Oryzias latipes: one gene and its partner. The protein of the gene in region 2 purifies or fractionates together with the protein of the main gene of each other region. This does not show direct contact. Links are inferred from orthologs where the notes say so. Each region holds a gene or a part of one and is shown on either strand. Other genes may lie near its edges. The genes, in order: ubl7 and ube4b.

Region 1 (3,922 bases), on a different chromosome or scaffold from region 2:
ATGATGGCGTTGACCAGTGCCGGGTGGGAACTGGTTAACCTACCAGACAGACACGACTGTTAAACGGAAGCTTGTGGGTCACCAGAGGACACTGAGAAGTCCCACTCACACTTCCAGCATGTTTGGATCCGTGAACTGCACAAAGAGATCCTTATCCTGAAGCACTCCTGAAGATTGAAGGGGAAATGTTAGCATTACGATGCACGAAAGATATCCCACAGGAAGTGGCTGGTCCAGCTCTCACCTAAAGCGACCGGGTCTGACCTGAGGCCGGGTGTGGCTACAATGATCTGATCCAGAGACTCCTTATTCGTCAGCATTTTATAGACCTGAGAGTTCAGAGCAAACACAGATTTTTAGAAGCCGAGTGCTCCCATTACTGCCATGGAGCTCCGCCAGCCTTTACTGTCAGAGTCTGATCCAGCTGAATAACCAAACGCCGGCCGGGATTTTGTTCAGCTACAGCTATAAAAAGCATTGGAGGTGATCTAATCACAGCCAGACTGCGGTGAAGACAGGTGTGCGGACAGCCAAATGGAAAGGAATGTAATCACCGGAGCCAAATTCCTTTGCAGAGTCAAAATATTAGTAAATGGAAGAATCCAACAGCAGCTGCTTTGGTTTGGATCCAAAACGTCCAGAATATTTGACTCCCGAACAACCAGCATTCAGAATCGGACTGCTTCTATTCATGAAGCATTTGAGTTCCTGTCCTCTGGTTCAAAGTCTAGATGCTTTTAGTGTCCAAACAAGAACAAAACAACTGATTTTACTGATTCCATTTTGATTCCAACTGAATCTTTTTACACCACGTAAATGCAGAACAGGCTGAGGTTTTGATGATTTTCAAAAAATTGTCTTCAGTGCTAAAGTTACCAGTTCAGCCAAAAACACCAAGCAAAAGATCCTGCTCACCACCAGATCCTAAAATACAAAACAAGTAAGATTGTTCAGATTCAGAAGCTTTTAGCTCTTTTATGTATAAGTTGACTTATCCTGTCTGGGGTCGCCACAGCGAATCAGCTTTCACCGTTTCAGACAGGTGCTTTGGCAGAGACATAACTGTTCATCCATATTTCTATTCAATATGTGCAACAAACGGCTTCAAATGTGCTCAAAAAAAGACAAATATGGGGAAAATATATACATGTATAATAATAAGTAAAAATAATAGTGATTTAAGACAAACAGTGGAAACCTTGGGGAGTAAAACGAAACCATTGAACGAGAAATGATCTCCAGGTGAGACATTAAATGAGAGTCCATCACTGCAAAACTCAAACAAACCTGTAAAAACATGCTGTAAAGATTTCTGGAATTCTACAAAACAGATTTTAGGTGATCTTTTTTTTTGGGATCAGTTTTTAATGGCAAGACCAAAAAAATGTTGTGGGTTCCAGCGCTCCGAGGGCTGCTGGGATTCCAGTCCTCCCTGATTCTGGCTCCGAAATCCAACTTCTGTTTGGTAGAATCTCATATAGTTTCATCATTTGAACAATTTTTTGCCCATTTTTTAAAAAAAAAAAGTAAACTGTTTTGCCATCTCTGCTTTGAAGCTCGGTTTCTCACACTTGTGTGTAAAAACTGAGCAGGAAGCGTTAGAATTGTACAGTTATGATTTTTCCATCCAATCCATAAGATTTATGGATGTTTCCAAAACATTTTCTACAATTATTAATATCATTCAGCGAATTCCAAAATATACCCAATAGTTTAAAATGACAAAAAGAGATTTTTTTTTATTTAAGTTCTTTTTAGAGCCTTGCTAATTTTAATATAGACTTTTAGTACATAAATAAATAAATAGATTAATAAATCTTTGTGGTACTTTTGTTATCAGAACATGTATTAGGAGCTTTGTAGGCTATGTAGTGAGTAGTGAAGGAATCGGGACACAGAGTGGGTCTTTGTTGGTTATGGACTCACTGCGTCTCTGTAGGCTGAATTGAGCGAATGCAGAGCGGCGTGGAACACCCGGAACTCTCTGGCTGCAGTCACTCTGTTCACCGGCTCTGCAAAAACACAAATCCGGAGCCGAGGTGTCGGTGATGGGGAGAGACTTTCAAGAGCTTCTGACCGCAGCAGCAGACACGGACCTGGACTGCTCTCCGGCTCTGGCCATGTCTTCTTCAGAATGTGTACTGTGGATCCCGGCTGGACCCCACAGGCGTCCAGTGTCAGCTCGTCCTTGAGCTTTCGCCCACAGTGGACCAGCTCTGGGAAAACAAGGAACAACAAGTTATACACACACACAACAACAACAACAACAACAACAACAACAACAACAACAACAACAACAACAACAACAGGCAGCCATTTCTGCTGCTAACAAACCTATGAGTTCAGGGTCTGGGACGGAGTCTGGCAGCTGCGCTGCTACAAGCTGCTTCAAGGTGGCGACTCTGTATCCTCCAGGTGGGACATCTCCGGGCATCATCTCGGGGAAGTGAAAGGTGGATTTGGGCTGGTCCGCCAGTTTCAGAGACAAGCGCCAGTCTGAGGACGCCATCATTGTCTGCGCAAACAAGAGCAGGGACATCTGTTTTGAATGCCCCGTTAGCTTAAAGCTAACCCGAAAATGTGTGCCTTTGCTTAAAGATGCATCTTTTTGTCAAGTGACTTTTAAAACAAGTTTACATGTTTAGAGAACATTTACAATACTAACAATTACCTAAACGGTTGTTTAAAAAATGAACAGAGGACAGCCGTGTAGTGACGTTTTTTCTTAATTAAACATTATTTTGCTTCTTGTGAACATTTCAAATAAAAGTTTCCGAACATTTTATTTATTTATGTATTTAAAAACTGAACAAGAAACAACCCTATGAATAAAAAGAAAGATGCAGACTCACCGCTCTGTTGACACTCGTTTCACTTCCGGGATTTGTAATCACGTGACTCGTGTTGCGTTCACGTCCACTCCACGAGCAAAGACCTTTTTTCTTGTCCCATCGCTTTCCTGTTCAACCTTTCCACATCTGTTGCACATTCGTAAATCCCCATGAACACTTTTCTGTCTAGTTTGCCACTTCCTCTAATTTTCTTTCACAGCTGTTTCTCAGCGGTACTTCATAAAAACGAGCCTACGAGGACATATGGGTTAGTAGTATGATCAACTAATTACGTGCCAAGTATATGTCCTTTGTGTACCTTTCCTTGAATATTTTTAAAATACTTTTTATGATGTTTTCATTGAACTGCTGCTTTATTACCAATTTAGTTTGTAATTCTGTCCTCATTGCACAAATTTTTCAAACACCATAAATGTGTCCTTCCATGTTTCCTTAATCCCATGAAGTTTCATAGATAGATAGATAGATAGATAGATAGATAGATAGATAGATAGATAGATAGATAGATAGATAGATAGATAGATAGATAGATAGATAGATAGATAGATAGATAGATAGATAGATAGAATTTATTCCAGACTCATGGTCCAATCAGTAAAAAGGAGTACACAGACCCACCACATTTAAAAAAAAAATACAGTGTCAAGAATACACAGCTGAGGTACAGTGTATAGTTACAGTTCATAAAAAAGTTAATAGAAAATACTTAATACAAACAAATTAATTAAAAAGGATAAGAATAAATACCAAGATAAAAAGATTACATATACATACTACACTGTAAAAACCTTAATTACAATGACAAGTAAAAAGACAGTCCCTCCAGTGTTTCCATAAATTTGACCGGAAACGTATTGCACTAAATCTAATGTTGCTTATAGCCAAGATGAGAGTGTTCTCTGAAGCGTTTAATCTGCAGATAAATTTGAACATAAGCGAGCGCATGCAAGCCCAGAGAGTGTTAATTCTGAGTGAAACGAAAAGCTCACTAGCACTTGTCCTCCAGTTCCATCATTGTATTTGTTTTTGAGTATAGAAGGGAGACATAGTGAGCTTGAATGAATAATGGA
Region 2 (3,822 bases):
TCATATCCTTCGCATACAGCAGCCATTCAGTTGTCTATCTGTTCAGCTCATTGAAAAGATGGTCAGTGCCTTTAGCAAAATGCAAATACATTTGACACCTGCATTGTTTTGGTTTGGTCTTACAGACTGAATTCTCAAAAGTGAAAAAGAAATGGAAGCAGACCAAACCACTTGTTACAAATCTCACAGTTCAGCTCATTCAGAAGTAACGGGCCAAAAAACAAACTTTGACCAGGAAGGAAAAAAAGTACAAAGAAGAATATCAGCTAGTCCCACTATTCCTCTGACGATCATGTTCGTATAAACTCTGGCACATCCTAAATGCACTGCGTTGATAGAGAAGCCATTTCATCTTTTTATGATTTTCACATATGGAGACTCACTGTGAGCTGCCCCCCCCCTTCTCTTTAACACACATGACACCAGCTACATCTGTTTTTTCCACTGTTTGATCCTCTGCACATTGAATAGACAGAGCATTCAGAGTTAATATAAGATTAACGTCTAGAAACCAGGGTTTGCCCATTTGATTCTGCAGAGTTCACACAGGCTTTCACAAAGTGGACTTTATGTTAAAACGACTGCTCATGTGGATCAAACCTGCCGGTGTAAATCCACCCTTAGAGTGGAAAATGGTCAGAACTTTATATTACATTTTACTCTAAATCGTACAACTCCTTCACTGTCTCATATAGACATGGCTTTTGTTAAGCAACCTTCTGTGCCGACATCCCAAAAACCTATTTCTCAAAATGTAAAAGTACATTTAACAGTTTGTTGTCTCTCCAAACAGCTTTGCCTTACACTGCTGAGATAATGAATGCACTTTCCAACATGTATAATTTGAAATGAAAACTCATTTTAATGTAGTCATTTGTCCTGACTTTAAGTAACATCAAGTCCAAAAATAATATTTCTTTTTAAATCAAAAGGGAAAAAATAGCATGTCAAAGTTATAGAAAGTTAATGCATTTTCCACACCAAGTGTTATTGTACACTAAACCCTGATGACTCACTGAGAAAAAAATGTTACATGTTGTATATTTACTAAGATGTATTCACCATTAAGAATTGAAAAGAGCAGCAAAAAGTCTTACCATGAGTGGAAACTTAAAGTTGTCACTGTCAAAGGAACATTCTTTCATTGCAAGTGCAAGCCCATGGATGATGGGAATAAAGATCTGAAAGGTAAGCAAGACAGCATTGTTGTAGTTTATTTAGCCTTAGTATTTTTAGAAAAATGTCTGTCATCGTTTTGCAACTACCACGAATTACTTTGCAAACACAAATGTCAGAAGACATCCTTAAAAAACAAAAAAGAATTTTGCTAAAAATGCTCAGTTTGTGCATTTCCTCCCACAATTTCATCAAAAACTGCATTGGTCATGTTTTGAAAAGGCTACAAAAATCCAGACGTGTTCCTCACCTGTTTGAACAATTCTTCCTCCTGATGGGTAATGCGCACGAGCTCCTGAATAAAGCCGAATGGAAGGTTCCTGCACAGCATGTAAGGTACCAGCAGAGACTGTTGCAGGGGGCTCCTACACATTGGAAAAAGGTAAATTAAAAGGCATAAAAACAAATAACTTGGTGAAAAAGTGAAAGAGCAATTACTATGGAAACAGGGAAGAAAAGGAATAAAGCAAAATGAGGCATCGGGAGCAAAAGTCAACACTAGAAAATTAAGGTTAAACATATATATATATATATATATATATATATATATATATTTCTTTTGACTTGATTTAGAATTCTGTTGAACCAATTTTCTTTTTTAACAAGGAATGAAAATAATGTGTCCCAGCAACTGTAGTTGTCTTACCGCGGTTGGGTCAGGGTGCCCTGCAGGACCAGAGTGACATGAGAGATGCACTGAGAACGAATGTTACTGAGAAGCTGGCTGACATTCGGTTGACTACACATCTGGAAAAGAGAAAGTTTGTGTTAATGCGTTTACCTGCCTGTGCATAAAGGGGTATTAAATGGATTAAGGTTTGGATACAGAATCTCTCAAAAGACACTGAAATAAACCCAATACTAATTCTTTTACTAAGAGAGTTGCAGCTAATCTCTCAAGACAATGTACTCTCTTGAGAACATCTGGTTCCAATTTAACAGAGGCTGATTAATAAAATGTTTTCTCTTGCAGACAGCAACCAACCTTGGGAGCTTTTCTTTCCTCCATGCCAACACTGTCAAAACGCTCAATGAGGTAGTTCAGCATCTCTGTCTCTTTGCATGCCTCAATGGTGAAGCGGTCGCTGGCTGCATCACAAGACACTGCCCCTCCACATGCACCAAGACTACAGAGGGGAAAAGCACAACAACAAAGAGACAAAATAAACACCAGAAAAGGCCAGAGCCCAGCAGGATGCCCAATTAGCATCAGATATATTTATCATCAAGCGGTTATCGAGCTCAAACTCAACCGGGAGCATTTTAAATGAAAGCAAATCCATCAGACATTTCAGCAGTAGAACCTCAACAAAGAAAATTGTTATTACCGTACTTGACGGCTTGCTTGAAGAGAAAAAAAAAGGAAAAACCCCTTACCTTTTCACAGTTTACCAACATGTGCAGTAATGGTTTCACTGCTTTACTGTTAGTGGTTAGCTAACTCCAGCATTTGACCTCAAAGAAAAACTTCCAGCAGGTAATATGATTAACTGGGTTATTAGCAGCCTATAAAGCAGGGGTCGGGAACCTTTTTGGCCAAGAGAGCCATAAACGCCACATATTTTGAAATGTAATTTCGAAAGAGCCATCCAATAATGTGGTGTCCCTTTACCACACGGAGGCACGGAGACTTAACCTCTTTTAAGGTTCTTTATTCTGGTTACTGCAGACCGCGACAAACGCCGTACAAATACTTCAGCAACTCCTTAATCTCTCCCGCTGAGACGAGAGCGCTTCTCCCAACTTTATATTCCCCCCCTCCTGCTCCAGCCCTCCCATTTCCCTTATTTGGCCCATGGCTGAACACCATTGGTCCAAACTACCTAATAACAGGCTGAGCGACAGAACTGAGAGCCAATCAGATGCGTTCAATGAACTTCAGAACTTTCAACGCGGCCCAACAGCCGCTCAGTCCGCGACAATATGTTTAAAACTAAAAATACAAATGAATGTGTGCATTTTATTTAATTTCAACATTTTTAAAGGACAATAAGTCTGTGGATTCTTTTTAATAACATTGTTATGCTGTTGCTAATAAATGATGAGTATTTCTCGTGGTAGTTCTGCTGATGGTCTAGTCTGGTTGATACGTGGTGAGTTTCTTCTTCATGCAGGCGTTGAGACTTTAAACGTGATCTTAGGTCTGAATGTTCTGTAGATGTGAGACAGACTGATCACATGCAGATACGGAGCCAAACACACACTCACGCTACAGTGAGTGACGGGCAGTGGGTTTTACGTATTTACAATCCCTGCGCGATTCACCTGCTGCCTGTCCCCACAACACCTCACCCCCACCCTCTGCTTTCTTCCTCTAACATCCCGTCCCCGCATCTGCGCACTCTTTCTCAGAGACGGGAGGGCGCACTTTTAGGCACGGCAATTCACAGGTTTCCAGGTGGTACAAACTCTGTGAAATAATAGATAATAGTAAACTGATAGCGCTGGCGCAGATTTTTCTCTCTAAGCACCGCTACGACTGCGCGCTTCTGGCATCGCATCGCGCCCGAGAAGGACTGGTCTAATGAAAAAAAAAGTATAATTAAAGATTTGTCTGCGAGCCACATGTGACCATCAAAAGAGCCATATATGGCTCGCGAGCCATAGGTTCCCGACCCCTGCTATAAAGCAATACCCCATTTACAC

What was found.
Region 1: the proteins of ube4b (region 2) and ubl7 purify together in Homo sapiens (affinity purification with mass spectrometry; 3 studies listed by BioGRID and IntAct, counting the BioPlex papers as one, with this or other methods). This does not show direct contact. The link is inferred for Oryzias latipes from reciprocal best matches to the Homo sapiens genes UBE4B and UBL7.

Annotation. Positions count from the first base shown.
Region 1 is NC_019861.2:28,019,349-28,023,270, reverse strand, and holds the start of ubl7 (ubiquitin-like protein 7), read right to left. Parts: upstream 2,943-3,922; 5' UTR 2,853-2,942; intron 2,516-2,852; 5' UTR 2,513-2,515; coding exon 2,335-2,512; intron 2,217-2,334; coding exon 2,097-2,216; intron 2,013-2,096; coding exon 1,927-2,012; intron 330-1,926; coding exon 245-329; intron 168-244; coding exon 110-167; intron 40-109; coding exon 1-39.
Region 2 is NC_019865.2:9,902,434-9,906,255, forward strand, and holds part of ube4b (ubiquitin conjugation factor E4 B), read right to left. Parts: intron 2,304-3,822; coding exon 2,162-2,303; intron 1,924-2,161; coding exon 1,823-1,923; intron 1,542-1,822; coding exon 1,427-1,541; intron 1,182-1,426; coding exon 1,098-1,181; intron 1-1,097. UniProt on the Homo sapiens protein: Ubiquitin-protein ligase that probably functions as an E3 ligase in conjunction with specific E1 and E2 ligases. May also function as an E4 ligase mediating the assembly of polyubiquitin chains on substrates ubiquitinated by another E3 ubiquitin ligase.